Astyanax mexicanus: one gene and its partner. Each later gene encodes a partner of the first gene's protein in a complex. Links are inferred from orthologs where the notes say so. Each region holds a gene or a part of one and is shown on either strand. Other genes may lie near its edges. The genes, in order: mybbp1a and dek.

Region 1 (12,246 bases):
CTGGCAGGGGCCTGCAGGGTCTAACAGTAATCCGCTGATTACGGCCTCCTTCCAGAAGAGCTCAAAGCTGTCCTCCCTCAGAGACATCTGCAGCAGGTCCAGAGCCACCGTCGGCAACACGTTCTCCTTCTTCACCGAGCGAGCGGCCGTCTTCAACACCTGAACCAACCTATCAGAACACAGGCAGGGTCACAAAGGATGAGTGAATAAGTGAATAAGTGAATAAGTGCAACACATCATGACAACTTCTTTTAAAGTACAGATTAAATCAATAAACATAGAAGACCTGTGTGTATGAAACTGTCAATGAAGTAGTATGTGTTTGCTGATGATTGAGTACATGCTATACAGTGTGTGTGTGTGTGTGTGTGTATAGACCCTGCAGGTCCCTGCCAGTGAGTACTCATCCGTATAGGACGTCTACAACTAGAGATTAAATATAAAATAGGGGTGGGCGATATGGCCCTAAAATATTACAATATTTTTTTATGATACTTCATGGTATTATTGCAGTAATGATATTCTTGGTGATAAGACAAAACTCTGAATTAAAACGATTTCAAGAATATACTCTACTGCAACAAATTATAAATAAAATGTTGATATTGCGTATGGTGTTATGGCACACCCCTAACTGAAATATTAAATAATTATTGATTGTTAGTTTTTCTTGTACTAATAATGAGCAGCCAGTATATGTGTAATATGTTTAGATGCTACATTTGTCAGTATCAAGATATAAAAAATATATATATATAATATAATAATATAATAATAAAAAACCTTGTATACGTGTGTGTGTGTGTGTGTGTGTGTCTCACCGTGGCAGGGTGTTTTTGTTGATGACGCTTGCAGTCCCCACCAGTTTCTTCAGTTTGGCCGGTTTGATGACTGAGGGAAACTTTTGCATGGCCACCAGGAGGAGCTCCAACTGTTCTGGGCTGCTGAGGGCAGAGGTCAAATCAGTCTGCAGTGCTTTAAACAGCACCTCCTCAAACACCTCCTCTGAAGTCTGAAACACAACACAACACAAACGCAGCTCAGAACAACAGCACGTATTACCAACTGGTGGAAATTAAAAATACTAAGGATGTGCCAATCCCATTTTCTGACCCAGAGAGATATTGATTTTTAAATGATTATTCAAACATTCAAACATACAATTTTATCACAAAAAAGTGTTTGCCCTTTATTGTAATAGCTTGTGCTTCTTAAAAGACAATAATTGCTTACAAAATATGTGTAAAAAAAAAAAAAAAAAAAAAAAAAAAAAAACTTCAATAATTTTTTTTGTAAAAAAAATTACCAGTGCAAATATCAAGTGCATGTATGTGTATGCAATGTGGCCTACCAAATGTAAAGCTTTTAATAATAGGTATTTTAATGTAAATGAAAGAATTAGTATTAGATTATAACTAGAATTAAATTAAATAATAACTATATAAGTGCTGCCAGTCAGTTAAAAATTAATTGTGTGTATCTGTGTAAACAGTTTGGAGGGGAAAAAAAAGCGTGGATGAAAGTAGCGGATGGCTCTGAATACAGCAGCATGCTTGCAGTGTGGGATTTTTTCTCCCTTAAACTATCAGTTTCCATAACCTAGGTATAAGCATATGAATAACACTCTTAATAAATTAGCACAAACTGTATTCTTTGTGTGAACGCTTTTGTGTGTATATATACATATATATATATATACACATCCAGATGAAGGCACAGAGTAGCATAACAATCTAATTTATCAAACGTGCATCAGCAGCATCACAGGCGAAAAGGCCGATCTTCAGCTAACCTCACTCAGAATGTCCACCATGGTCTTCCTGGGTAGTTCTCTCAGGTGTTCTCTGTACTGAGACAGAGTCTGGAGCAGCTTAATACACTCCAGCAGTACCTGCGGCTCCTGGAGAAATGACAGACATCAGACAACTTGACTGTGTGAAAACATTCAGTAATTCTGTGTTTTTAAAATGATTAACAAATAAATTCTACAAATAAATAAAAACAGAGTAATGTAATTACAACGTAATGAGTACGAGGAGCTTACCTTGTGCAACCGTGTGGACTGAGACAGCGCGAGCACGCCAAAAAAATTCCCAAACGCCACATTTCTGATTTGTTTCTATAAAAAGAGAGAAAGAAAGAGTGAGAAAGAAAATCCAGAAGATTTAGAAACACCAATAATCATTAATAGAGATGCATAAATACTAATACTGGCATAAGATAATCCGATACCACGCTTATTTACTCATAATCGCACAGATAAAAATTGCACATAAACAATTTTTATAAATATATGAGTTAGAAAATGAACGAGAAAATTAGAGAGAGTAAGAGAGAGAGAGAGAGAGAGAAAGAGAGAGATAGAGAGAAAGAGAGAAATAAGGAGTGAGTGGTGGAGACAGTCCCAACTTCAAAGCCCAGCAGTTCAGCAAAAGCAATTTGTCTCTTTAAATAAAAATCTAGTGTTTTTCCTACCTTATTGGCTGTTTGTAGATCATGTTTTTCTTTGATCTGATCAAGTGTGCTTTTAAGTGGAAGTTCATCAAACACACTGAGCACCTGCAGAAACACAAATCACACACCTGAGTTCTCCTACAGAACTGTACTGGAACTTTTCAGTACATCCAGCAGTTAATACAGGAACCAAACTGTTTTGAAGATTCTGTGTTTCTCCAGAAACGCAAACCCAGAAGAGGTATTTATATATTTATATTTTTTAAAAATCGTCTAATACAGGCTATTTTTTTTTTACCTGTGCCAGTGTGGCGCTGTAGCCAGTGCGAGCATGCTCTCGTGCATGAGACAGTCCATTCACCAGCCTCTTCACCACATACTGTAACTCATCCGACTGAAAAACACAACAAAAAATAAAATAAAGAACACAATACAAAACAAAAGCAATGATGTTTCAGGTAATAATTAGAATGCCACATTAACATTAAACAAACTAAGCAGGTCTCACTCACATTGGGTGCAAATAGTCTACAAATTCAACACACAGCACAGCGAAATATTACTTGATCAATCAGGAGAAATTGAGGACAGTAATGAAGTATAATTATTATTGTTCTTAAGTAAACTTTTGTGTATCTGTACTTTACTAACATATCCATGTTAGGTGATTTTTTTTTTTACTTTAACACTATTACTTCAAACTCAAATATATTACTATTTACTATCCACTACTTTGTCAGTCATTTTGGCTTGTTTGGGTATATAAAAAAGTACATTACATTATATCAAATTTATCAGATGCTTTTAGAGTATTGTATCATAAAAGAAGCACCAAGCAAGCCCACCATTCAGGGCACGTCACTTGAATCGGGGTACAGCGTATTCTTAGTTTTTACCTGGTTCTGACTTGTTGGACAAACAGCAGCTGCCCAATGCAGCAGTGAAAAATTGTGGGTGTGCCTATACTGCATAAATAATGAATATATGGAACATATAGATACAGCAATCTTTTTTAAAATCATAACTTAAGCTCATAACTTGTAAGTTACATATAAACCTTAAACCAAAATGTGCTTGTTAGTAAAAAAAAGATATTTACAATAACTTGGTTCAAACTAATGAAAACTGTTCTCGTTTAGTGTTTTGTGCTTGTGGCCTTTTTAACAGGCATCAATATGACATTTACGACATTCTATCAAAAGACTGGTGACGTTAGAGCGACATTAAAAAAGTTTCAGCTAAAACGAGCTGATTAATCAATAAGAGACTAGTAATCATAAAAATTATAACAGAATATTATAGCAAAAATAAATGATGGTATCGCTACTTTCAGAAGCAAAGCATATTTGAATTAAACTATTTCTGAATTTCTACACTTGTTAAAGTTTAAAGGGGGGCTTTACCTGTAGTATAAATACTTAACCTCGAGCACATGGTTTGTGTACTTAGTCCACCACTGCTCATCAGATTACCACAAGGTTTAAGAAAGAAAACTGAGATACAGGGAATACAGGGTGTAAAAGGCACTCCAGAAGGAAGATTAAGGTCAACAATATTATTTTGAGTGTCCACCTACAACAATTTGGACAAGAATAATCTCAGATTGCCAGCCAGCTTCTTATTCCACCAGCCTTCAATCCACCTTAAACAGTCCAGAAGTATCTGTAAGTGATCTGATGACAACAGTTGAGTAGCTAACCTAACTAACCGAACATTTAAGGTGGAACGGGCACTGATCCTGGTACTAAGCTGCTGTGATGGTTCTGAAAAGTTCTGAGGTCCAGTTCAGTGAGTGTACTAACCTCTCCACTCTTCTTCAGCTGTTCCACCAGTTTCTCGGCAGCCTGAAGTCGCGCTTCTCTCTCGGGTTTGGCGATTTCCCAGAACAGGTCCAGCAGCTCCCGGCTCCGCTTCAGAACACCGTCCGGATCAGCCACAGCGGGCCGAACCGGGCCGCTATCAGGGTCCACCATGCTCGCCTTCACTAAACTCGTGTAGAGAAAAACACGAGAGGGAAACACGTGCAGAGAGAACGGGGGAACCTCCGGTTTGACTTTCAACCATTTCAAAATAAGAGTCCCTCAAACTGTAGCATTAACTTTCACTAACATTTAAAGGTTTATTTATTTTAATTAACTTTTTTGGAGAAATTACTTAACAGTGCGCATGTAGTTTAACACTCTATGGTATAATGTTGCCCTCAGGCAACAAACCATCTTTTGCTTATTACACCATTCCATACTAAAATGTATTTGTTTATTAATTTAGTTCGTTTTAGTATACTGTACAAGGCATATCTACGTCCAATACAAAGAGACATATAAATGGTTAAAATAAAAAAAATGTAAGTTATATGTGCAAGAAAATAATATGTTAATATTATTTGAATATAATTAGAATTAGTCTCATTATAATTTATTTCATTTTCCCATTTGGGTATCGTTATTTAGATCACTTGTGTTAGGGCTATCAAGACAAATCTTTGATATAGTAATGAGATTATTGTTATTAAGGAGTTATTTACATTAATGTGAATGTGAGTCTGTATTCCAGTTACAAAAAATCCAAAAATGAAATCTTAGTTTCCTTTGTCATTTTTGTAAAAAAAAACAACTAAAAAACAAAGCATTCATTGAGGATATATGACCAGTATTTGACCAATGTCTGAATATTCTACATGTTTTTTAGTGTTTATTATTATTATTATTATTATTATTATTATTATTATTATTATTATTATTATTATTTATAATTTTATATATGTATGTATATATTTAGCAGTTAAATTTTAATGTTATGATTATTTTCTTGACTTTTTTCTTAGTTATTTGATTCAATTTAATCATTTTTAAAATTTAATGTTAGTTGTCTCTGTAATCTTTGTAAAAAAGAAAAGAAAAAAACATTTATTGAGAATATATGACCCATTTTTGTCCTATGTCTGAATATTCTACGTGTTTAGTTGTTTTTGGTTGTTATATGTTTTTTATTAATAATATTATTATTATTATTTATCATAGTATATATGTTTGTATATATTTAGTAGTTTAGTTTCAGTTTTCATGCTTATTGGGGTTTTCTTGTTTTTTTTCTTACTATTTGATTCAATTTGATCATTTAAATATATTTTATTTTACCATTAATATGGTTTTTTTATGAATCATCAGAAACTTTATAGTTAATCTGTTTTTGAAATGTTTTTTTTTTCATTTTTCATTTGTTTCTTTATCATAATTTTTCCCCTATGTCCCCAATATTTTAATATAATGATAACAAAAGAAAATCACTACCTTTTTAAAAGGGTGTAGCATCCATTAGCATCATGCTATTTTATTGTCATCATATTATTAGCATTAAATTGTGTTAAAATACTATTAAAGTAAAATAATATTGTTTATTGCAGTTAATTTGTGGTGCAGTCTCATCTCCGTTAGTGTCAGTGTTGTTTATAAGGCCTGTTTTTTGCTCTTTTCTCTTTTACAGCAGGTTTGTTGTGAGAAATGTTGAGAAACTCTGTAATCTGGGGTAGTTTTGCCCCTCATTAACCCTGATTTCAGCTTTTTCCACTGTATCCGCGGAGCTGTTGGTAAATCTGCAGATAGCGCGCAGTTATTAGCGAGTTTTCCGCTTGTGTGTGTTCCTGTAAAAATGCGGGTGTAATGGAAATAAAGAGGAATGTTTCGGTTAAAAGAGAGAGATTTGAGTTAATAAGGAAAGAAAGCGTAGTGGAAAATATCTCTGTGTGCGTGTGTGGTCCTAATTCTAAGGTTACATTTAGCTTTTTACACGAATTATCCGTTCCACCTTAAATGGTGCTACAGTTACATTCTACATTCTACAAAAGCCAGCAAAAAACTTTTTTTTGTGTTAATCACAATAAAATCTTATGTTTAGAAATATATATGTGTGTTTATTTATGTATTTATTTGTCTGTATCACCTGTTTTATTTTTTTCCTTTGCAAATTGTAATACTTATTTTTTTTAAATCTTATAAGTAATGTTATTATTATTAACCAACTCTCATTTTTAATCCTATTTTTGTTGTGTTTGCTACGTTTATAAGAACTGTTATGTTTTTCTGTTTATATTTTCTTATTATTTTATACACTAACATATCTTAATTATCTGTTTAGAAATATGTTTATTTATTTATTTTGTCTGTTAATTGTTTTAGTTTTATTCCTCTTCAAATTGTAATAGTTACATTTTGTTTAATCTTATTTTGTAGTGTTATTAATATAGTACGGTTAGTACTGTTATAATTTTCTTATTATTTTATACACTTATTTGATTATATTTTTATGTTTATATTTTAGCATTTTTCTTTTTTTTATTCTTCCTGAATATTTTTTTTAGTTTCATATTTTTCTTAAAAGTTTTTTAGTATTTTTATACACTAAGTATATTTAATACTTTAGTTATATATTTTTAGTAATTTTTATGTTTACATTTTAGCTTTTTTCTTTTTTTTTATTTTTTTGTTTATATTTAACTTTTCTATATCTTAGATTAATTTTTATATGATCATTTTAAATTAGTTCTGCTAAATTTTCAACTTTTTTAATCCATTTTTTTCTCTGTTGTTTTAAGCTATTGATTGTAAAGGCTCAGGTACATTGAATATAAAATGAGAGTAACAGTTTTAAGGTTTATTGATTCATTAATCAATTGATTTATTGATTATTACACCTTGAGATGTATAGCTAATCACACACAGTAACTGGTGATGAGTGAACAGATGTACTCAGACTCTGTACAAGAGTGAGAAAATAGCTTTTATTTGATATAAAGTACAGAAAGCTGCTTTTATTACATACACTTCATTCATTTTGCTCTTAAATAGTATACAAATAAATAATATATCAGAAAGCAGTCAAGAGCTGTGTTTACAAACGCCTCTAATGACCCTCGGGTCGTCAGGTGACCGGTTCCATTCTCCTGTTTCACAGTCTAGTAAAACGATCCAGGTCCAGGACCCAGTTCCACATCCCGGGTCCAGATACATTTACAGGGTCCAGTCATATGCTCCGACTCAAGAATCCGGTTCCAGGATTAATTTTCACGCTCTGGTTCCATTATATAGTTCCATACTCCAAGTCCAGGAACAAAAACCATGCTCTTGTTCTAGGATCCAGTTCTATTCTGTGGTTCTAGGATCCAGTTCTATTCTGTGGTTCTAGGATCCAGTTCTATTCTGTGGTTCTAGGATCCAGTTTTATGCTTTCAAGTAATAAACTTGATCTGGATCCAGTAAAATACTCCGATTCTAGGATCCAGTTTTGAGATCCAGTTCCATCCACGCTCTGGATCCATGATCCACTTCCATAATACACTTTCAGCATCAAGTTCCATGTTTTCACTCCAGTTCCAGGTACCTGTTCCACGTTCTGGTTCCATAAACTGTTTATAGATCCAGTAATGTGTCCTGATTTAGCTTCAGAAACCAGTTCCAAGATCCAATCCGCTGCCCTGAATACATGATCCAGTTCCATAATCCACTTTCTAGATCAAGCTCCAAGTTCCCGATCCAGCATCCTGCTCCATGCATAATTTCCACGACACAGTTCCGTGATTTGGGTCCAGAATACAGTAAATTATGCTGATTCCAGGTTTAGTGAGTTAATCTCAGTCTCAGTATTACAGTAATAACTAAAAACTGATCTGGATTCAGAGCCTCCAGCGTCCTGTGGAGATTCCTCTCCTCCATCTGTCAGTACGGTTCTCACGTGTTCTGAAACCATATACTGACCTCTATAGTTTCACAGGTTTCACAGTACATTAAAGCGACAGGTCAGAAAACCTGTGTACACAACTGTATTATGGGATATAGTACAAATCAGAGTACAGATTATAGTACAGACTATTTGACAGACTTGTACAGACAGTAGTGCAAACTGTAGTAGAGTAGTACAGATTTTAGCGTGAAGTTTAGTACAGAACGTAGAACAGACTATAGCACAGAAGAGAACTGAGTGTAGTACAGACTGTAGTGCAGTCTACAATATTGATTGCAGCGCACACTTAAAGCACAGACTGTAGTAAATTAGAGTACAGAAGAGTACAGATTGTAGCACAGATTAATACAGACTGTAGCACAGACCAGTACAGACTGTAGCACAGACTAGTACAGTCTGTTGTACAGACTATAGCACAGAGTGTAGCACAGACTAATACAGACTATAGCACAGACTGTAGCACAGACTATAGCACAGAAGAGTACAGATTGTAGCACAGACTAGTACAGACTATAGCACAGACTGTTGTACAGACTATAGCACAGAATGTAGCACAGACTAATCCAGACTTTACCACAGATGATAGCACAGACTGTGGCACAGACTGTAGCACAACCTATAGCACAGAAGAGTACATACTGTAGTACAGACTGTAGCACAACCTATAGAACAGAAGAGTACAGACTCTAGTGCAGACTGTAGCACAGACTAATACAGATTGTAGCACAGAGTACAGACTCTAGTACAGACTAGCACAGACTAATACAGACTGTATTAGTCTCTAGTACAGACCCAATACAGACTAGTACAGACTCTAGTATAGACTGTAGCACAGGTACACAGTTCAGGCTCTAAGATGGGCACTGCTGTTTGTTTCTGTAACAGGTATAGAGTATATTTAGGAGTTGAGCTGGGTGGTAATTTGTGTATATTTGTTTTTTTTTTGCCAGACTTTTCCTTTAAGCCCCCGAGTCTGAACAGCCTCTCGTTCTTGTCCAACTCTTTAAACTGATTTGGCAAAGTTGTGGTACTATGTGCCATTATTATATCCAAAAGAAGAATCAGGATCACACACAGGGAGCAGTGTTATCAGGTGGGTCCGGCTGCAGCAGCAGGAGGAACTGGAGGAGCTGTGTACAGATCTCAGCTCTGTAGTGTCTCGTCCTCATCGTGTCTCTGGTGCCGGTGTGTCTCGGTGTGTCCGCTCAGACGAGGATGGGCAGGAAGTGCGTGGCCGTGTTCTTCCTGCGTGTTTTCCTGCCCCTCATCGGGCGGCCGTTAGCGCTCAAACCCACAAACATGGCTCTCCTCCGGTTCCTCCACTGCGCTGATGAGTAGGTGTTGTAGCCGTTCTCCTCAATACGCTCCTTCAGCCTGCAGTTCACACCATACTCTCTCTGGAACACACACACACACACATACTGTGAGTATACTACCAACAAACTAATTAGCACAGATAAATACTATATATGCCCACATGTTTGTGAAGATAGAGCCGATAGATCAGATACAGCAGTGATTAGCAGTGATTAGCATGGTGGTGGTGCATGAGGTGTTAGTGTGTGTTGTGCTGGTACAGTAAGTGTATCCAATACAGCAGTGCTGTTGGAGTGTGTGTGTGTGTGTGTGTGTGTGTGTGTGTGTGTGATGACACTCACCTCTCCATACACTTCTCCTTTCTTACTGATGGCCAGATAATAGTTGCTGCTGAGCCCCCGGATGGCTACAACCCCCACATCCACAGACGTAATCTCCAGAATGCCTGCAACACACACACACACACATGCGCGCACACACACACACACACACACACATTAGTCCAGTCTCAGTCTGTTTCAACACATTTCAGCTTTAAACAGTCATCTGACGAGAGCTAACAGTAGGGGCTATTAGCAGACAGTGTGTGTGTGTGTGTGTGTGTGTGTGTGTGTGTGTGTCTGTAAGGGTATTAGTGTCACTCTTTGGCATGACCTTTGATCTCCAGAACACATCAGTCAGGTTGTAGTTCACACACACACACACACACACACACTCACACATGCAGTGTAGTGTGTGTGAGGCTTTGTTATCTCTTTGTGTGATAACCTCAGTGTGTGTGTGGCGTGTGTGAATATGAGGGGTTTGTCCTTTGATCACACAGACACATGCACACACACCCACACACACACACCCACACACACACACTATGGATAATTAGATTCTAGTACTGGAGAACTAAAGCTGTTGATTCACCTTGTTCAGATCAGTTCATTCACACACTCCTACCAGAACACAGAGAGGGGGCCATCACACAACTGGTCAGCATTCTGTGTGTGTGTGTGTGTGTAGAGAGGGCGTGCTGGGTTGCAGGTATCAGATGAAGCAGTAAAACTATCTGTTTCTCAGTAAACAGTGGCAGGATGAAAGGATGAGGAACAGAAGAATGGCAGGATGACAGAAAGACAGATTAGAGCAACATCAGTGAGTCATGATCAAAGAGAGAGAGAGAGAGAGAGAGAGAAAGAGAGAGATGAATGAAGGACTCTCACACTACACAGACACACACCACAGTGATTGACACAACAATTTATATTTATACATTATTAATAATATGTCCCATATGTATTATATATATACTACAGGTGGACCGAATACTTGGCAACCAAATTTGTTTGACTGAAAATGGCAAAATAATTTATATTGAAAATTGACTCATTTATTTTAAGTCACATTGCAGAGTTTTCTCTGATATTAGGACTTTTTTTCAGTAGCCGCTCATATCAAAGCGCCAGGTTACATTTTTTTACTCTCTACCCACAATAATTAAAGTAAATAAAGCACTCAGCTTACACACTTAACACACTCACTATCAGTTTACTCAGTTTACTACGTCTTCACAAACTGGCTGCTTCCAGTTGAAAGATACGAGCTGTACAGGACTAGTATAGTAGCGTTAGTAGCGTAAATTTCACTTACATGTGACTTGAGCAGCACTGCTGAGGTAAATTCGTGATTAGAATGGGACTGCTGAGGTACATATATAGCCAAAATAGCACTGCTTAGGTAAACAGCATCACTGAGGTAAATTTATGACACACTGATTGAATTAATGAAATAAGCGATTAGAATAGTGCTGCTGTGGTAAATGTATTGTGCTTTGTTGGTTTGTCTTCTGGGTTTTTAATAATGTTCAGTGCTCAATAAATATTTTAAAACAGATTTGTAGTTTTTAAAAAAATTGTTTCATCTTTAAACACTCAACAGAGCGAGAGTTAATGCTAGGGGCTGTTAGCAGACAAGGTGTGTGTGTGTGTGTGTGTTAATTATATTAGATCAGTAGAATGTACAAAGACAACCATGCACTTACTTTTAAGATCAACGCAGTGATTTTGGGATTTGAGCTTACACGCATTTTTGACAACACATAAAGCCATATGGACCATAATCCACACCCCACATTCACACACACACACTCTGAAAAGCACATGTCTGCTCTCAGGTAGTGGCTTTGAAGTCGTTTTTTCACTGCAGAACTAAAATAACCACAAACTGTACAGAGAAAACAGTGAGTTACTGTAAATCCCTGCATTATACTGCTCTGAATACAGGGCGAGAGACACTCTGACACACACTGAAGGAGAGAGAGAGAGAGAGAGAGAGAGACTGTAAAAAGCTGCATGTTTTTTTTGTGAGGCAGAATTCCCGAAATATTTAAATGTGCTCTGATTGTTGGGCAAATTAACATTTTTCCCTAACTTGCTGTCCAGTGTGTGTGTGTGTGTGTCTCACCATGCTCTGTTTGCTGTGAGTAAATGTCGCGTGCAACAAACTCACACTTCGTCTGCTGGTGTGTGTGTATGCGTGTGTGTGTGTTTGTATGATTGTTTTTTCCATAAAGTGCTGCCAACACTTTACCACGTTTTATAGCTGAGATGATGCTTTTCTAGTGAAAAACAAAAGCAGTGGTCGTAGTTTATGGAGCAGAATGATGAGTTTCTCTGGGTTTAGATGTGTCAGGATAAACCAGAAAAACAGTTATCTCACCCTGTTCACTTAAACAACACACATTCTGCTCTG
Region 2 (11,802 bases), on another chromosome or scaffold:
AACACTTTTGCAAGGCACACCAATACTTTTGCAAGGCATCAAAACATACCCAAGAAATGGAACAAGCCTAGTTCCATAGTTTTAAGTCATATTGTACTTTGAATTTCATATATAAACAGTAAGATGGAACAGCTATAAGGTTTGATTTTATAAACTAGTCTTGTCAGAAGATAAATCACTTTTTGCTTAAATGATAAACATTATTAGATTCACGCATGTGCACTGGTTCCAATATTTAAAAAAAAAAAGTAAAAAAGTAAAAAAAAAGAAAAAAAAAGAAAGAAAAAAAAATCAATTAAAAAAAGTTTCTCACCTCTTCATCCTCACTGTCTCCTAGACCATCATCAGATTCTACGCTCTCCTCCTCCTCATCTGAGTCGCTTTCATCTCCTTTTTGTTTCCGACTGTCTGATGCTGAAGACTTTTCGGTGTCTTTATTTTTAGTGTCACCTTCATCTTCATCATCATCTTCATCATCATCCTCATCACTACTTGAAGTAACGATTTCTTTAGACTTTCCAGGGTCCATTTGCTGTTTCTTGCTCTTTGATGCAGTTTTATTCTCACGTTTGGTATCTTTTGCTGTTTTCTTCTTTCTCTTCTTTTTTAAGCTTACCGGCTGAGTAATAATAATAAAAAAAGAATAAATTTAACATTCTTTCTTAAAAGAGACACTAGGAGGAATTTTCTGGATTATTCATACTTTTAGAGAAGTAACATTTCAGATTCAAAAATCACTGCACCACTCCAATTAGGTGTAATGGGCAGAACAGAATCCCTCTTATGCCTGACCCAAGGTTAAATGAGCTGAAACCAGACTTTGTAACTTCTGTGTGAAGTGCAAGACTAGCATGCCTCTTTCGAGAACTGTGAACTGGTGATTTACCACATTGTACTTCTAACTGAACTACAAGGACTACAAAGATCGATTGGAAAAGCCGTTTCAGTTCTTTGATTATGAATTATGTATGGCAGAGGCTGTGAAGAGACTGTAGAAACAGATCTCTAAGGAAGCAAGGATGTAGAGAAGAGAGAGTAACCGAGCTAGAAACCAGAAGAGAATAAATATTGGCCTTTTTTTTATAATTGTTCGCCTGAGCTATGAGAGAATAAAGGGAAACACACACACACAGAGCTGGCCAGCTTCTTGTTGGACTTGCAAATAACGTCTTATTTTGTTATATAATAAATTCTAGCTTTTAAATTCATGATGTAGTTCAGGCTTTGATGATTACAGTATATTGCAATTATATACTACAGTTATAGTAAGATATTTGCACATGGTGTGATCCAGGTTTTGTTAGATTGGCAAACAATGCAGGTCTCCAAACTCTGACTGAAATATTAATTTTAGTAGGGGGCTGGTAAAAGCTTTTTTTTACGTTTTAAAAAGATTTTTACTGCTAACTTTTTTTTTGTTTTGTTTCACTATAATTTCATAATTGGCTTGTTTGTGTAGAAGGTTTACAGCACTACTGTGTAAACACGCTGTTTTCTCATAGTAGGAGACTTTGAAGAATTGTCTTGGCTCAGTTGTTTAGTTTTTAACCATAAGAAAACATCCTACATTTGTTTCCTTTTTTCGACTTAATATGTAAAGTGTTCTTAGTACAGGTGTCCTTTGGAAAATTAATGTGAAATAGAGAGTTTGATAGGTGTAACTCACTTTCCCGGAGTTTGTGGGGTTTACAAGAAACTGCATGATCCTATCAGCCAGAACCGCTTGACTTCCGCTCCTCTCAATATCAAGAATTTGACAAATGGACTTGAGCTGTACTTTGGGGATCCTGTAAAAAAAGCCATTCATTAATGATTATTAGACAACGTCTTAATTTAGTTTCCAGCATTCACCAATAAAACACATTAGACCAGTGGTTCTCAAACTTTTAAAGCAATGTACTACTCATGATCAAACCAAAATCTTTTAATGACCACCTACTGGGGCTACTGTGTGGACCTTACCCTCTTTACAATCTGCAAATTATTGTTTCTTATAAATGCAGTATGCATACTGAGACATGTCAGAAAGCTTGAGACAGGGGGAAATAACCGGACTATGAGAGAATGTAGTGAACTATAAAGTCTACATGGCACCTATTGTGAATCGTGGAGTTCCTCAGGGTTTAATTGTAGGGTCTATGAAACTGAAGGAACTAAAGCTTACAAGCTTACATACAGGATCTACCACATTAAACACTAAAAAACCTGTTGTGAAAATTAGATATTTTTAAAATATTTTGTTAATATTTTTGTTCATGCATTACATTTTCTGAGGTCATCTGGTGTACCACCCTAACATGCTTTGCGCACCACTAGTGGTATACGTACCACAGTTTGAGAACCACTGCCATAGACCATCTACTATCACTACTATCCTTCATACTACATATATACTATTTTTGGTTATAAAACATCATGATGGGTTCCCTACTTTGACATCTTTATCCTCTTCTTGTTGTAAGGATCACTCTCAAACTCAAACGGAAAGCCATTAAATAATCGAAGGTGTTTTCGAAGCGATGCTACCTGTAAATTTAAAAACAAAATTTTACAAAAAACATTACTGAAGTGTTAATCTTATGGTTATGAACATCTCACTCAATTTAATAAAATACTCACAGCTCCTGGCCGATCGTATATAATCTTGTGAAGAGGTTTAAGCATTGGTGCTTTGAGTCTTCCAATGGCATGATTGATACGGGGGATGTCTCCTAGTTTGTCTCCTTTGCCTATACTCTCGATTTTCAGCTTCTCTTTTGGTTTAGGCACCTGCATATCAAGTCTTTGGACTGTTTTCTTCTCCCGTTTCCCTTCCATGATTTCCACTTCATCTGCATGTAGGAAAGTAAAAGATAGTTCCAGTAAACGAACAACACATTTTGATTAGTGTTACTGGAAATATATATATTTATATTCTGAAGTATAACTTACAGATGCTCTTGGACTTCGGTTTCTCCGACTCATCTTCTTCTTCTTCTTCTTTTGTGTGATCGTCTTGTATATCCATGTCTTCCTCCATATTCAATCAAGCTCAGATTAGGTACTTCTAAGTGGGGTAAAAGATTAAAAGGGCATCAAATACATATTCTCACAAAAAAAGATTGTTTGCCTTTCACATATATTCAAACTATAATTTGATTAATTTACTGTTTTAATGCAATTTTTTTATTTATTTTATTTATGCCTCAGTGATGTTATGTTTCACATTTTCTTTAACTGAAATACAGGGAGGTTATGTGTGCACTGTGTTTAATATAAAAGCTGCATTTAAGTAAAAAAAAAAAAAGAAAAAAGAGAGAGATTCTTACTACCCATTACATTTAATTACTTTTCTTTAATCGCCCAGCCATCTCCATAGCCATTTCTGACTAGTAAAAAAAAAAAAATAATAAAAAAATCAATCAGTTACAGATACCAATTACTTCTTTTTTTTTTTAGCAGAACTGTAATTCTAACTAGTATAATGTTGTCTTATAGTCTGGTGCATAGATTAAGTGATCAAAATTCTATTGAAATACAAAGTAGCCAAGTTACATTTTGTGCTACTATTGCTAGTTGCCTGTTTTAAATGATGTGTATAATGATGTCTTTAGGTATTTGGTAATCTCCCATCGCTTAAAGTAGTTGAATTTACTAATTAGAATGGATCTCTCCATTCAGAATGATGCTCTGGATAGAGAGCTGTATCAGAATATAATGATATGGAATATAATCAAGAGGTAGAGTGATGATCACAAGCCATCAAACCAAGCTGAACTGCTTGAATTTTTGCACCAGGAGTGGCATAAAGTTGTCCAAAAGCAGGGTGTAAGTCTGGTGGAGGATAACATGCCAAGATGCATGAAAACTTGTTTTTTACACTTTACTTCTGCTGAGTTGCGTGTGAATATTAGTAGCTACTTGAACCTATTTATATAGTAGTTTTGATTTTATGTAAATCTGATTTTAGTACACATTTAACCAACGCTACAACTAGTCTACGTTTAAACTTACTCACAACTGGTGCAACCGACCCCAGGACCTTGCTGGTGTACTGGGCTTTCTGACTGCTGGTGTGTTTTTAGATTAAAACGGCTAACGAAGTTAGGTAACTTACCTAACCTACGTGTAACTTTAGTAGCTAATTAAGCTAGCGTTAGCTAACCCAACTTATGTAAATTGTTAGTTAAATTAGCTAACCTGGCGTTAGCTAGGTTAACTAGCTAGCAAGTCTAATTCACCCCAAAACTGTCCAAACACTGGCTAGCTAAGATATTTAGTTAGCTAGCGTAGCTAGCTACTATGAATACGAATTAAGTTTTAGTAAGTGTTTCTCCGGAGTCTGTAATAATCGAGACCCTTTATACTTATTTTTACTGTATTTCTCTGCCTATTAAACCCCGCAGTCTTGTTAGTTTGAGGGTATCTTCCAGTTAGCGTTAGCCGCCTGCCTCCCGAATTCAAACTAAATTGGCGCGAGTACCAGAAACACACACACAGCCCTGCCTGCTCTGAATACTGAGCTAGTTAGCTAACTCCAACGCAGACTGCCTAAACGGACCCAAAATAGCGTTTAATGTCCTCTAATGTCCGCAGAAGAGCTGTGCGTTAGAGCTTGGAGTTAAACCTAAATATTTACCGCGCGCTGGGGACCCGGGCTCCTGCTGGAGGCTCTTCCGCCGCGGTAACTCCACAGCAGCGCAGGGAGCTAACGCTAGCTAACTCGGCTACGCAGCTAGCGGACCGTCCCGCCCACAGACCGAACCAAAACAATCCCCGCAGAAGCGGAGAACCGACCAAATCCCGCACTGCCCTCACCCTCCGAGACACCCCCACCGCCTCCCTACATACACACACTAAACTACAGCACACAGCGCGTGGATTAAACAGGAGAAACACACTCACAGGATCCAAACTACGCCCGGGCTGCGTGATAACACTCCGATAAACTCCGCAACATGGCGTTTGAAAAGTGTGGGCGTGTAGTCACGTGACCCGGACCACCGTCTCACACACACACAAAAGTCGGGAGAGAGTCAGAGTAAAAAAAACTAATGTAAGAACTTCATATGACCTCATCAAGGCTCAGAGGTGGAAAAAGTACTGAAAAATTTTAATTAAATAAAAGTACCTTTACTTTGCTAAAATTCTACTTAAGTAAAAGTACCCATCTAAAAATAAAATCTAAAAAAATACTCAATTAAAAATGTACTTTGAGTAAACGTTACATAGTTACTTTTAATCATTTGATGTACAAAAATACAATAAATCATATATTAAATTGTTTTTAATGAACTATTATTTCATATAATAATTTGGATTTTTCAGGCAGTATTTGTTCAGACCACCCCATAAAACATTTTCAAGAACAAGTGGCATAGGTTTCTATGATCCAATTTTTTTCTTTACTGTAAAAAAATTATGGTCATATATGTGACTATAAACTGTATTTTTACAGTTTTTACAGGTCATTGTTATATTTTAACTTGCAATTGCTATGCTTTAACTGCTATTTAAATGTTTTTTTTTTTAACATTCAAGCGTATTGTTTAATGATAAAAATATTTACCACCACATGCTTTCACAGGTTTGCTGTGGAAGTTTTGAAAGCTGACAGCTCTGTCCGGCGGGACACATTTTGTATTGCATGAAGAAGTTATTGCCTCGTTATTCCATGCATGAGCATCTGTGTGCCGGTGCATCCGTGCCAATTATTATTATTTTTAATTCAGACAATTGTTTTTTTCCCCCAGCATTTTATTTTTTACTCAGTAACGGGGAGTTTTCCAATGTAGCAAAGTAGATTACTTGTGTCAAAATGTACTTGAGTAAAAGTAAAATGACCTATTTTAAAATCTACTGTAAAAATTACAAATTACTCATAAAATCTACTCAATTACAGTAGATTTTCCACCTCTCTCAGGTCTTCATACCTCACATACCTCTCTTACACTCTAAAAAACAGAGGTACGATATGAGTACTTTTTTGTACTCAAAGGTACACTCTTCATAATTGTACCCTTAAAGGTACAATATTGGTCTTTACAGGGTCAGATTTGTTCCCTCTGAAGTACAAAGTAATTTTTAACAGCAATAAGTACAAATTTGTACCATTTGACTAGACAAAAGGTACATTCAGTGTTCTGCATCACTGTACTAATAAACAATATATATTTTAATTGCACATTTTTTATTTGAAAGCCAGACAATTTTGCATCATCAAGTTTTTGAGCCATATTTAGTTGATGATAATGTTTATAATCTTTATAATCTTTACTGGCACAAAAATGGGTACAAAAAAGGACTTTCATGGAAAGGTACTTTTTTGTACCTCAATATAAGGTACAGCCCCAGCGACAAGCTTTGTACTCTTTTAAGTACAAATCTGTACTTACTTTTCTTAGAGTGTAGACATTTTGTAATTTTGCACTTTTAAAAAAGATCATATTCGTCAAACAAATGACAGAAAGTGTATTCTGTCTTTTTTTTCTTTTAAAAACTTAACAAAAATACAGAGCACCAGAACAGCGAAGAAAATAAAAATGTTTCCTTAAATTTTAGTGGGGTAACTTTAAACTGAGGGAACAACCCAGCTTAAACAACAGGTCTCTAGGGAGTCCTCCGAACCCACACCGGAACGTGCCGGGGCATTTTGGAGGGTCGCCAAAATGTTGCAGGGGATGGTAGGGTACTTAACATTCAGATGACCACCATGGGACATTTATAGAAAGTATTTTAAATGTCTTTTTTCGGTCCAGCCCTGTCTGGACGGAATTAGTTTCTCAGGGGGACGTCTGTGAAAAATATTTCACACTTCTACTCGGTGATAAAACTCCTGCATCTGGACTGCAGTTAAAAAAACAGGAGGACCAGTAAGTTTTTAGGCTTTCTCGGTCACATGACATCGCGTTTAATAGCTCCTCCATTTCCACTTGCTGTTGTGTTTATGTGGATCTCTATGGAAACGGGCACCCAAAGTGTAATTACGGTGCGTGGCAGTGGACAAACAGCTATTTTATTAAATGCAAGGAGACAAAACTGTGAGTCTGGACTGGACTAAAATTATCGGAGGATCACGGAGTTCAGCGAAAAACAGTTGGTAATTTAGCCTGTAATTTTCTCAGAGGACATCAGAGAGAAACAAATACATGGTCTTTCTGGACAGGAATAAAATCACAGAGGACCCACAGTAAAAGAGAAAATTACCCCAGGACCCCCTGAGAAACTAATCTTGTCCGGATAGGGCTATATATGACATCTGGAGGACTTCGTAGGGACGTTTATTGGACGCCTTTTTCGCATCTCTATAATACTAAATTATTAAATAAAAAAACCCAAAGTGATTCATTAAAGGAATGATTTAATCGACGAAATTGATAGTTAAACTGAGAAATTTCAGATTTGAGGAGCAATAAACTGAGCAAACAACATTTTAAATTGAGGGGCACAGTTAATGTAATTAACAGAATGATGCATTATAGTCATGAAACATATTTTTCAAATTAAAGGAATTTGAGAAGTTGATCAATTTAGAGCATGATTTAATAATTTAAGAAATTAATGCTTACTTTCAGTATTTATTATATTTTGTGGTTTAAAATATTTAAAGTAAGAAACACAATTTGTTAAATTGATGTAATGATTTATTAAACCAATGGAGCATTTTAATCATTGTAATTTGATACATAAAAAGTATTAATAGTTATTTTAGTTAAGCTCATTCAAAAATATATTTTTTCTTAGTGAGACAGCTAATAAACTTGACAGGATATCACAAAGCAGCATTTCTCAGAGGATTACTTGAGTCAAGCTCTGTCAGATCTTATATATCTATAAAGAACATCACGTTTAATATGTTTACATGCTATTGATGAACAGCAGGGGTCAGTGTTGTATCACTTTTGATAATCTGCTTTTTCTCCAAATCTTTTTAAATAGACGCCTGGTGCTATTGAATGTGTGTATTAATATGCGGAAATAAAACAGCTCAAGACTCATTTTAGGTAACATGGGTGATTATAAAAAGAACACATTATAAACAGTAAGTATTAATTGACTTATTAAGTATTTAAAAACCTCCTGAGTGTTAAAAAGACCCCTAGTGGAGAATCATGAACCTGAATGAGGAAAAGAGTAGACTATATGATTTAAGGAGGGAGAGAGTGAGTAAGAGAGTTTATATGTAGAAATTGCAGGATCAATTTGGAAAGATGTGCCCAAAATGTTTCTAAATCAAGGTCCAGTCAGCGGAATTGACCTCAGGTGGACTCTAGTGGTCCAGAGAAATGGGAGGCACCCCAGAGCTAAGTGTCTGAATACTTATGTCTATGTAAATTTTAGTTTTTTATTTTCAGTAAATCTGATCAAATCTAGTTTTCTGTCATTGGTGAATTAGTGCAAATTAGTGATTTTTTGCCGTGACGTAACAAAATACTTGACCCCAATCCAAGAAAAAAGAACATAAGTTTGATAATGAATTATATTTTAATGCAATTACACTAGTGTTGTTGTACTCAAGTCCGATCTGGGTCTTGAAACCAAAAATAAGGACTCAATCTTCTTTGGAATCGGTCTGAGTCTTGTCTGGCCGAGTCTGAGTCCTCTGAGGTTAAGTTCATTAGAAACTGAACCTTTTTTCTATGTTACTAAAAATCAACAAGTCATTCAAACACACTAAATCAGTTCTTTCTCTGTGTGGCTAAAATCTGCACACAGATTGGCTAATGGCAAAAAGCAAGCTACTCCAGCTTTTGTTCCAATCAATGTACACCTTTCATTCTGAATACTCCAATGTTAAGTTGAATGTACTTTTTTCACCTGCTTGCTGTAGTTATACTCTTTGGTTAATTGAATCTTTTGACCCCAGGGACCACAATTAATTTATTCCAGACATCTAGAAAGAAAGCACAAGGATAAGTAAGTGCAAACTAGAGAGATAACTAACCTTTGCAATGAGCTAGCTAACACACTAATATTTCTGGGGAGATAACTACCGTTAGCGATGAGCTAGTTAACCTTACCGACAAGTTATCTAAAATACTAATGCTACCGGGGAGATAATTACCATTAGCGACAAGCTAGCTAACCTTAGCACCAAGCTAAATGATACAATATTGTTACTGGTGAAATACCTAAAGCTAATGACAAGCTAACTTACCTTAGCAACGAGCTAGCTAACCTTAGCAATAAGCTAGCTAAAATACTAATGCTACCAGGGAGAGAACTACAATTTGTGACTGTTTTTTTACATTTTAGAACAAAAATAAATAGTATTTGAATCTGAACTTTTATTTTTAAATCTTAATCTGGTCTTGGACGTGGTCTCAGCTTTTCCCGGTCTCGGTCTTGACTCAAACTCGACTACTAAAAAGTCTTGGTCTTGACTCGGACTTTGTCTTGACTACAACACTAAGTTACACTTTTAGCTTGAGCATATATGGACCTTAAGACTTTCAGAACATATATGTACCTTGAATCTTAGAGCCTTTTATATTTTTATTTGTCGATAAACATTTGGACAATGACTTGGGCTCTGCAGGCCACCATACTGGATTTGAAATGAAACAAATAAAATGTAACTGAAGTGTAGATTTTCAGATTAAATTTAGGGGTTGAACAAAACTATCATATGTATCATATGATGTATCCTTTTAAAAGCATTTTTCTACAAAGCCTCCTCATTTCAGGGCGCAAAAGTAATTGGACACATAAACTTTACCATAAATAAAACATTTATTTTTAATACTTTGTTTAGAAACCTTTGCAGGTGATCTCTGCCAGAAGACTGGAACCCACAGACCGCAGCAATCTTAGTTTTATCTGTCCAAAGGAACACTGTTTCAGAACCAGAGGTGGAAAGTAATTAATTACATTTACTCAGTTACTGTAATTGAGTAGATTTTATGAGTAATTTGTAATTTTTTAAGTAGTTTTTAAAATAGGTAATTTTACTTTTACTCAAGTACATTTTGACACAAGTAATTTACTTTGCTACATTGGAAAACTTCCAATTACTGAGTAAAAAAAATGCTGGGGTAAAAAAAATTGTCTGAATTAAAAAAAAAAATTTGCATGGATGCACTGGTGCACGGATGCTTGCACGTGGAATAACGAGGCAATAACGTCCTCACGCAATACAAAATGTGCCCCGCCGGACAGAGCTGTCAGCTTTAAAAACTTCCACATCAAACCTGCGAAAGCATGTGGTGTAAGTACTTTTATCATTAAACAATCTGCTCAAATGTAAAAAAAAAATGTATATAGCAGTTAAAGCATAGCAATGGCAAGTTAAAAAATAATAATGAACTGTAAAACTATAAAATTACAGTTTATAGTCACCTATATGACCATAACCTTTTCATAGTAAAGAAAAAAAATGATCATAGAAACCTATGCTACTTGTTTTATGGGGTGTTCTGAACAAATGCTGCCTGATAATAATAGTTAATTAAAAACAATTTATTTTATGATTTGTTTTTACTTTTTTACATCAAATAATTAAAATTAAAAGTAACTATGTAACTTTTACTCAAAGTACATTTTAAATTGGGTACTTTTTAATTTTACTCAAGTAGGTTTTTAGATGGGTACTTTTACTTTTACTTGAGTAGAATTTTAGCAAAGTAAAGGTACTTTTACTTAATTACAATTTTTCAGTAATTTTTCCACCTCTGTTCAGAACTAGGCTGGATTCTTTATATGTTTTTATTTAAATCTGTTAAATCTGGGCTTTCTATTAATTATTTGAACCTTGTGGTGAACACCTCTATATTTGCTCTCATGGTAGACTGGGGTACTGATACACCTACTTCCTGAAGAGTGTATTTCACTTGGGTGGATGTTGTGAATGGTTTTATTCTTCAGCGTGGAAAGGATTCTGTGATCATCCATCACTGTTGTCTTTTGTAAACATTCAGGCCTTTTTAAGTTCCCGAGCTCACCACTGCGTTCTTTTTACCAAAATGTACCAAACTATTGATTTGGCCACTCCAAAAATTTCTGCTATCTCTCTGATGGAGTTCTTCTTTTTTTCAGCCTGATGATGATCTGTTTCACCTCCACTGAGAGCTCCATTGACCACATGTTGTGGGTTCAAAGTAACAGCTTCCAACATAAAATGCCACACCTACGAACAAATCAACAAACCTTTTATCTGATTAAGTTATGAGGAATTAATAAAGGGATAGACCATACAACCCATAAAATAGCTTTTGAGATAATTTGTCCTATTACTTGAGTGTCTGAAATGAGGAGGCTTAGTAGAAAAATGGTTATAATACCCAAATGCTTCATAGAATATTTTTTGTCCAACTCCTTGGAATAAACCTAAAAGTCTACTTTTCAGTTGTATCTCAGTTGTTTCATTTCAGATCCAGTGTGGTGGTTTGTAGAGCACAAATCATGAAGATTGTCTCACTGTCCAAATATTTATAGACCTAATTATGGGTCCTGGGACTTTGAGCCTATATAGGGCTTAGGACTTCAAGCTTGTATGGACTTAAGGACTTAAGCTATCCAAAAGCAGCGTGTGAGACTGGTGGAGGAGAACATGCCAAGATGCATGAGAACTGTGATTAAAAACCAGGGTTATTCCACAAAATATTGATTTTTAAACTTTTAAAACTTTATGAATATGAACTTGAATCTTTGCATTATTTAAGGTCTGAAAGCTCTGCTTCTTTTTTTGTTATTCCAGCCATTTCTCATTTTCTGCAAATAAATGATCTAAATGACAGTATTTTTACAACAATGTTCATTTTACTCAAACATATACCTATAAATAGTTAAAGGACTTCAGACTTTGAGCCTACAGTGTTTTTTTTT

The links.
Region 2: mybbp1a (region 1) and dek share a complex: the UniProt entries of both Homo sapiens proteins name them as parts of the B-WICH complex. The link is inferred for Astyanax mexicanus from reciprocal best matches to the Homo sapiens genes MYBBP1A and DEK.

The regions. Positions count from the first base shown.
Region 1 is NC_064429.1:11,719,252-11,731,497, reverse strand, and holds the start of mybbp1a (myb-binding protein 1A-like protein), read right to left. Parts: upstream 4,488-12,246; 5' UTR 4,428-4,487; coding exon 4,257-4,427; intron 2,849-4,256; coding exon 2,753-2,848; intron 2,560-2,752; coding exon 2,476-2,559; intron 2,120-2,475; coding exon 2,045-2,119; intron 1,901-2,044; coding exon 1,793-1,900; intron 1,013-1,792; coding exon 822-1,012; intron 170-821; coding exon 2-169; intron 1-1. Other genes in the region: fgf10b (fibroblast growth factor 10b), read right to left, coding at 9,396-9,587, 9,849-9,952. UniProt on the Homo sapiens protein: May activate or repress transcription via interactions with sequence specific DNA-binding proteins. Repression may be mediated at least in part by histone deacetylase activity (HDAC activity).
Region 2 is NC_064413.1:17,883,332-17,895,133, forward strand, and holds the start of dek (protein DEK), read right to left. Parts: upstream 4,996-11,802; 5' UTR 4,885-4,995; exon of another isoform or gene 4,619-4,884; intron 3,047-4,618; 5' UTR 3,020-3,046; coding exon 2,932-3,019; intron 2,832-2,931; coding exon 2,620-2,831; intron 2,527-2,619; coding exon 2,432-2,526; intron 1,788-2,431; coding exon 1,667-1,787; intron 620-1,666; coding exon 314-619; intron 1-313. UniProt on the Homo sapiens protein: Involved in chromatin organization.